Coturnix japonica: one gene and its partner. The protein of the gene in region 1 interacts with the protein of each later gene in a pairwise test. Links are inferred from orthologs where the notes say so. Each region holds a gene or a part of one and is shown on either strand. Other genes may lie near its edges.

Evidence for each region.
Region 2: the proteins of BCL2L13 (region 1) and PLP1 interact in binary tests that used the Homo sapiens proteins (3 or more experiments, as listed by UniProt). The two-hybrid records come from large-scale screens. The link is inferred for Coturnix japonica from reciprocal best matches to the Homo sapiens genes BCL2L13 and PLP1.

Annotation. Positions count from the first base shown.
Region 1 is NC_029516.1:50,908,640-50,912,447, reverse strand, and holds part of BCL2L13 (bcl-2-like protein 13), read left to right. Parts: intron 1-859; 5' UTR 860-964; intron 965-2,259; 5' UTR 2,260-2,325; coding exon 2,326-2,446; intron 2,447-3,808. UniProt on the Homo sapiens protein: May promote the activation of caspase-3 and apoptosis.
Region 2 is NC_029519.1:1,950,445-1,955,050, reverse strand, and holds the start of PLP1 (myelin proteolipid protein), read left to right. Parts: upstream 1-1,712; 5' UTR 1,713-1,839; coding exon 1,840-1,843; intron 1,844-3,111; coding exon 3,112-3,298; intron 3,299-3,734; coding exon 3,735-3,996; intron 3,997-4,606.

The DNA of each region.
Region 1 (3,808 bases):
TTTTTGTGCAGCTTAAGATGGTCCTTCCGTTCAAGTTCCTAACTGCACCTTGTCATTTAGGTATAAAACTACCTCGCAAAATACATTTGCCCAAGTGGTTACTTTTTCTCAATCGAAGTTGCTTTCTGTCCATTGCTTTCCCAGGGAAATACTGGCCACTGTTTTAACAAGTCGTGACTCTGACTCTCTTCCCTCCACCCCCTCCATTGGTGCTGAGCTAAGCATGCTGAAATGTTCATGAGCCGGGCCTCACTGCTGCATGTGGATCACTGTGCTGGTGTAGGATCTCATTCCTGTTTCAACACAATTGTTTCTTTTTCCCTTTCATTTTCTCTGAAAATCTGTTTTAAAGGCTAATATTTATATGTTCAGAGTCGGTCTTTGATACGCATCACAGTGTCTGGATTTTTGTAGACCACTCATCAGGCCAGTTCTTTCTGGACAGGTCTGTACAGGTTGGCCTGAAGGGCTTCCATTCATTGTGTAGGCATTGCAGGGAGCTCTTTAGTTTCAGGACTTTGGATCTCTGTGAGCAAAACAAAACTGAAATGTATTGAGGAGCTTTTTCTTTTTGGTGAATGGCATCTTTCACATCTGGTGATGCAGAGGTTGCAGCTGGGGATCTGGCGTGAGGAATACATCTATTGTCGATGATCCTGAAGTCTCCTCAGTAGTTCTTTCCAAATCTCTCATGTTTATTGAAAGCTCAGTGTGTGATGTTGGCTGAAGGGTAGCTGCGTATTGTAGAAAAGTCATGTTTATCCTTCGCTGTAACTTCTTGCGTTTCTGAAGCATGATATGTCAAGTGTTTTCTTGAGTCTTTGACATTGATTCTTTCCTATGTAAATCACTGTTTCAGTTCTAGCTGTAGCGAGGACTCAAGTGAATGTTTCTGGTAAAGGATTTCAAGAATTTGAAATACACAAGAAGAGGAATTGCCTCCCACAATGTAGACTTCAGGAAGGTATCCTCCTCTCGTTTCAATAATGAACTAATTGCAGAAAGTGGAGTTCTTACAGTTTAAAGATAGCTAATTTTCCACCAACTCTTTTTCCCGTTACAGCTTTAGGTTTTAAACTTGGCTTGAATATTTCTTCTAAACATAACCACACTCTGAAGCTTGTAAATCCTCTAACTTCTTCAGTATCTGTTATGTTCCTGTTCTGTAGTGTGAGCGTTTGTGTTGGCCTTCCATTTGGGCATCCATTCTGATGGCCAGGTGTGAGCTGCTGCTTATCTTGGAGCGACTCTTCGAAGTGATGGAGACCTCAATGCTGAAAATTCATTTGAAAGCTCTTGTTGCTGTTGGGTTTATCAGCTTGATTGGATCCAGGCTGTTCCTTACATAAAATGCTAGAACATGTTGGTTAGTCTGACACTTTGTTTCAATCTGCTGTGTTGCTTTTTCCTCACTTACATGTTGCCTTTCAGATTTATTTAATTTTTCCTTGTCACTGATGGCTGTTTCTAATTTCTGTTTCCCCCAGCTTTTCTCGCTGTTCTTGTTTGGGTGTTTGAAGAAGCAACGATACCAATAGTGAAATAAGGTCATTCTTTGACCAGATGTTGCTGTTAGATACAGATTTCTGTTTTATGAGTATTATTGTCTGGTGAGAAATCCAGGACACACGGCCATCTGTTCTTCCAATCCCAGCAACGAATACAGAGTTTCCTGTGTTGACCGTGTGTTTTCCATTGCTGTTGGAACAGTAAAATGAGGTTGAGACAACTGAGGTTGAGACAGTTCTCTCTTTTCCTACGATCATTTCTTTTTTTGCCTCATAATATAGAATCTGAGAAAGCAAAGAGTGAGAAAAATACCCTTGTGAGGCTTAGGGGAAGGGAGTTTCCTCTGAACTTGTCCTTTTTACCTCAAACTGCAGTTAACTGAGTCTTCAGAGCCCTTCAAACCTCTTTGCTTGACTACGCCTGTGTTTTTTATATGTGGTTGAGTTGGGAGGCATTAGGAGGCAGATACGTGGTGAGGAACTCTTCAATTTGCTTTAATGTGAAAGTGTGTATGCCAGGCAGGAGTGAGAAATCCCACTGCTAACTGTGGTCAGAGCACTAGACTTGAAGGCATTTGGTTTTACTCTGCATAGTTTGTATTAAAAGAAGAATGCATAGGATATAAAGGCAAAACTCTGGATATTACTTTATGATCGTTACATAATTCCGTGTTATGTATGAGTTCATGACCTGTTGCAACTTTATAAAAAAAAGAAATGAAAAACAAACCACTCTCCTCTTTTCTTACAGTGTCCAGTAACTTAGAGAAAACCCTACGTGCCCAATAAGAGCACTGACACATTGCAAGCCAACCCGATGGCGTCCTCTACTGCTGTGCCTGTAGGATTTCACTATGAAACAAAATACGTAGTTCTCAGCTACCTGGGGCTCTTATCACAAGAAAAGCCACAGGAACATCCTCCTGCTTCAACTCAAGGTAATATTTACATGTGCCTATTGACGTATACAACTGCTTTTGCAATTAGAGCTTGAACTGTTTATGCATGTATGCAGAATGTCAGCCTGTTTTGTGTTGTCCATCTCTCTCTGAAATGAATAATAAAGTGAGCAGTAGGAGGTTCTGATCAGAACAGAGTTGTTTTGTTTAGTTTACTGTTTTAGTTTGAGCTAGGCCAGGGCTGACTGGCATTTATGAAGGTAAAATCAAGTTTTATTAGCTGTCTTCTTCAGGTTAGGAAGGATAGATTTGTGTTACCGTTGTTTGAGCAGTCTTGGGAATCTCAGGCCATGCTTGCTTTTTGGGGAAACAAATAGAATTAATGAGGGGTGAGGAGGTGTTTATATACTCAGGCATAAAGCCTGAGTGCTGACTTAAGCAATCTCATGTACTAAATAGTTTTGCCCAGTTACGTTAGCACTTCTGTTGTTGTCAGTCAGTGGCAGTGTAGGGATATGAGACTTAATCTGGCCTACACTGCGTCTATTTGTTCGTTTATTTTTAAGAAGCCGAGGACTGCATGGAGTCAGATGTTTCTTCCAGAACAAGTTTATACATACGGGAGGTTAAGCAGAATAAAATAAGTTTGACAGATTGCTTTTCATGTTCTAGGTTGTGAAACTTCCTTTATCTTGTGTTGGCAAACGTTTAAACAACATCGTTTATCCAGATTTTTTTTGCTGTTATTTGTGATGTGTCTGTTCCTTCAGAACTCCTGATGAAGGCACATTTAAAGAAAAATACTGAGCAAACATTTAAAAATATCTACTCTGTTACTTACTGAAGTTACCTGTCAGAATTGAGAAATGCTTGAAAAGAAAAGAGAGCATCGGGGATAAGGCTGAAATAGTGTTATCAGTTTGGCTCTGTAACATATGCTGGTTATGTGTGTAAAATTAAGCTTTGTATACGTGAGATGTGTCTGTTTCTTCCATTGTGACTGTATCTGCAGTCCATGAATGGTGAGATATCTTCATGCCAATGTGCTGTTTCACAAACCTCTTTGCTGGAAAAGGGGGTTATTTTAGGAATAACGACTCATACTGCATAACCCATCTGGGATAGCTTCTATAACTGGTAGTATATCGACTAAGAGTCTCAGTCTTTCTATAAATGAAAAGTTCAGAAAGGAAACTTAGTCTTAAAGATTTCTTTCTATAATTTGCTTCTAGTTCCCTTTGGAAATGGAGAGGAAACCAAACAGTTTGTTAGTACTGAAACCACTAATAAATATTTGAATTCAAGATCAGTATTAAACCTGTATAGAGAGGAAGCTACAAACGCTTATGTACAGTTTTTCTGATCAGTTAAGGAGACTTTTAAAGTACTGATTAAAGATAA
Region 2 (4,606 bases), on another chromosome or scaffold:
AAGAGATGACCCCACAGAGTGCAGACCAGAGGAATGAGCTGCCTGGGGAGAGAGGCAGCCGCTGCCTTCCACAGCAAAGTCAGTGGATGCTGGGATGAAGCCTCCATGGGGCTGGGGAGCACCACCAGCCCTCCTGTCCTTCAGCTCGCCTCCCCATCCCCCAGTGGGCTCCAACAGCTTTGCCTTTTTCCCCCCCCTAATTGTATCTATATTAGCACATTTTGCAGCCTCCTGCCCTCCCCTGTGGGAAAGGGGGTTCACCCCAGTGATGGGGGAAATCAGAAGGTGGGCATCAGCCTGGCCTGGGGAAGTGGCTGTTTAAAAATAGCAGCAAGGTTCTCTGGTGTGACAATACGCACCTCCCGACATGTATGTATAATGGATAAAGGCACTGCACGCGCTGTCACTGCTCCTCCTGGGGACACCAGCACTGTGCCCACAGCCCGGGCACACAGCAGCACCCAGGGCTGATCACAGAGGCATCCTCACAGCGAAGGAGCCAGCGGGGACACACAGCCAAGAGGGGATGCTCAGAGCCTGCAGCATGAGGGGGTCCCAAAGGCTTCAGCCAAAATGCAGAAGGAAGGGATGAAATCAGACTGTGGAGCCGCCCCCCTGCAGCATGGGCAGCCCTGGGGGTGGGGGGGCACACGGGAGGGAGATGCTAACGAGCAGTAACCAATTACGGAGATTTTTGAAGGCATTTGGTGCAGAAATCGCAGCCCTGCTTCGTTGCTCACATTATCCCGGATGGCAGAAAGCTGATGCTTCCCCCCAGGGTGTTGAAATAAAATGCAAGATCTTGAATTTCTGCAGAAAGAGAAAGAAGGGCTCATCGTTTTTTTCCCCATAACATCATTTTTCCCTCTGGTGCCTGGCTCCATCCAGGCAATGCAGTCCCTTATCAGTGAGCATCAGCAGCCCCGCAGATGTGGTTTCTGAAGAGCACTGGGGGCACTGTGTGGTGCCCTGGGGACCCCCAGCCCAGCAGTGTTCCCAGCCCCAGGGACAGCCAGGCCCTGCCACAGCGCAGCCTGGCACAAAGCAGGGCATTGAGGGACACAGCGGGGCTTTGTCTGCCTGCTGAGAAGGGCCCTGTTGCCCTCTGCAGGCGTCCCCAGCCCTGTGCTGATCCCCCATGGGGGGCACCCATGGGAGATGGGCACCCCAAGGAGCTGACCCCCTCTGCTTCCCCATCCCTGGATGTGTCCCCATCCCTTGAGGACCCCATGGAGGACTCCCTCTGGGGACTGTGCCCATTGGAGCTCTGTCTCTTGTCCCACATAGAGCCCAAAAGGATGGGGACAGTGAGAGAAGAACTGCCGTGAAAGCAAGGAGAGCAGAATTCCCATCAGAACACCCACTCTGGAGCACTGAACGCAGGTGTCTGACACTTAGGGAGCAAGAAGGCAACAGAGGGGCATCACTGCATCCCACAGATCCCACATTGCTACAACTCACACCTATAGGCACTCACACCCCAGCCAGGCCTGGGGGTCCCCCTCCCACTGCACAGTGGGTGCCCTGTGACCCCCCCCCAGCCCCTTTATCCCTTTTAGAAAAGCTTTCCCTCCCCCTCCCCACCCCAAGCCCTGAAGTTCTCTGCTTTGCCCACACACAGAACGGCTGGCAGCCAAGGGGTGCAGCTGGGGGGGGCCGGGGCGGGGAGGGACGGGGGCTTGTCCCTTTAAGGGGGGTGGCTGTCACTCAGAGAGCCCTTTTCTTTGCTGGCGAGTGGGACAGGCACCCAGAGGGGACAATACAGGGTGAGGGACTGCCAGGGGAGGCGAGGGCTGCAGACAGAGCCGAGCGCACGGGGAGCTGAGCGAGTCGGGTGCCATGGGTGAGTATGGGGACGTGGGACAGCTGTCACAGCTGTGGGGGCCTGGAGCAGAGAGCCCGAGCATTTCCCCTGGCACTGGCAGGCTGTGCAGGTGATGTTCCCATGGGTGGCAGGGGAGGAAGCAGGGATGGCATTTTCCTTTCCCATGTGGCTTTCTGTCCCCTCCTGGGACAGACCCCATCCCTCCGGGAGGGTAGAGGAGCATGAGCTCAACCCAGGGCTGCAGGGAGAGCGGGGCACTGAGACCCATCACAGCTTGTGCCACTTGTGTGCCTGCAGCTCCATGCCTCAGTTTCCCCATCGATAAAATGATGTCATCCTGCTGGGTGCTCTGATGGGGGTCTCACAGCTGCCACCCTCCTCCTGCCCGCAGCACTTTGTGCAACAAGGCCCATGATGGTGCTGCACAAGGGCCCTTTTTTCTCTCCCCTTTTCTCCTCCTGCACTTTTCCATCTCTTTCCCAAAGCTGGAGGGCACACCAGGCCCTGCTGCATCCTGGTCCCCACCTGCCATCTGCCAGCAACTGCCCCCAGGTTCCCAGCAGGGAGAGAAGAAATACTAAAACCCTCAAGTCAGCTTGGTACCATCATCGTGCTGCAACGCATGCAGCTATCCATCCCTGTAGGACCTGCAGGGATCAGGGTGCACTGCTGGGAGGGGAAGGCATAAGGACCACTCCCTGGCCCCGTTGTGTCCAAGGCAAACAGGCGGGGGGGTCTCTGTGCTCCCCCACAGCGCTGCCTTTGTTCCCTGTTTGCTCTTTGGACAATCCCCCATTGTCCTCGGTGCCACCACGCACCCTTGCTCTGTGTGGGGAGGGGGGGACGTTGCTGGCCAGGACCCCAAGGCTGCCTTGTCCTTGCAAGGAGGAGATGATAGGCTCTGTAGGGTCCGTGGGGGGAGCATGGGTTTGGGACTGCTTCCAGCACTCGGAGCGCTTTAGGAACTCAGTGCACACCCGCCGGGGAGGGAGTGGAGCTGCCCCCAAGCTGTGCCCGCTCTCTGCACCCCAACCTCATCCCAGGTTCTGTAAGCACCACGGCACCATGGCAGCCCAAATAGAAACCCCTAGCACTGCGGCAGCGGGGAGCCCATTAGCAGCTTGTTGGTTTGCTCCCACTGGCATCACGCTGCATCACCCCGCATCTCCGTCTCACTCAACTGCCAGCTCCCCAGCACCCTGCACTGCTGCTCTTGTAGCACCACCACAAATAGTTTCAGCATTTTTCCCTTTATCTCCCTAAAATCCCCCCTTGTGGCCCTGCAGGTCTGTTGGAGTGCTGTGCCCGCTGCCTCATCGGGGCACCCTTCGCCTCTCTGGTCGCCACCGGGCTCTGCTTCTTTGGGGTGGCACTGTTCTGTGGCTGTGGGCACGAAGCCCTCACCGGCACCGAGCAGCTCATTGAGACCTACTTCTCCAAGAACTACCAGGACTACGAGTATCTCATCGATGTGTAAGTAACGGCGCGGGGCTCCTCGCGTCTCCATTGCGCGTGATGTGCCGCTGTCACCCGGCTCTGCTGCCACCCACTGGGGCCGACACCACGCAGGCTGTGCTCAGCCCTGGGCAGCCTCACACCGGCGCTGTTGCCCCGTGGCAGATGCTCCATTTCTTTTCACCCTGTTCTTATCTGACCCACGCCAGGTGCTGTGGGGTGCACAGGACAGACGCACCAGGTAGGTATGGGGGCAGCAGGATGTCCTGCTTAGCAAGGTGCTGCTCCCCCTCATCAGCTCCACTTGGGGACAGCAGCTTTGTCCCCACAGGAGGTGACACCCCACTCCAGCTCCCCCAGGGGTGTGTTGGGCTTGGGGAGGGTAAGTGGGGCTGCACACGGGGCTGTGTGCCGCAGCACTGCCTGAGCATCCCCACCGCTCCTCTCCCCATAGCATCCACGCTTTTCAGTACGTCATCTATGGCACAGCCTCCTTCTTCTTCCTCTATGGAGCCCTGCTGCTGGCTGAAGGCTTCTACACCACCGGCGCCGTCCGGCAAATCTTCGGGGACTACCGGACCACCATCTGCGGCAAGGGCCTCAGCGCAACGGTAACTGGGGGCCCGAAAGGGAGGGGAGCGCGAGGCCCCCAGCGAGCTCACTCTTTGCAGCGGGTGTGTCAGTGTTTGGGAAAGTGGCTAGGACATCCTGACAAGGTGATCTTAACCGGGGTTTGGCACCCCATCGCGCGCCTGCAGCGGGTTTGGCGTTGGCTGAAGGGCAGGAGATGGCGACCGCCCGGGGGTCGGGGTGTACCGAGGGGAAGCGCAGCCTGACAGCCCTCCCCGAGGCCAACTGTGTGCCCAAAGCAGCCAATTTGACCATGGCATTTGCCCCCAAACAAATTGCTCTGTGCTTAGGGATCACCCGGCAGAGCCGCAAGCATCCCTGCAAGGGCAGTGCATGCTGCCACTATGGCTGTCCTGCATGGTGCCCGAAGACTGGTGCCCTAGTGCTGGGAATGGCCTTGGGGAGCAGAGGGGAATGGCTGCGGTTCCCTTTGGGTTCGGTTGGGGTGGCACCATGGAGGGAGGGCAGCAGAGCGGCGTTGCTCAGCTCAGGGGTTTTGCAGCTGCTCTCCCGCAGAGGTCAAACCCTGCTGGCCGCAGAAATCCCCTGGTATGGGAAGGGGCACCATTGTGCCACAGCTGGTCAGTCCCACGTGTGTGTGGTCGGCCCCAGTGCCGCCCAGCTCGGGCTGGCGGTCCATTGGGTGCATGGGGCTGTGTTGGGCACAGTGGGCAGTGCATCCCGGCCCTTCACCTG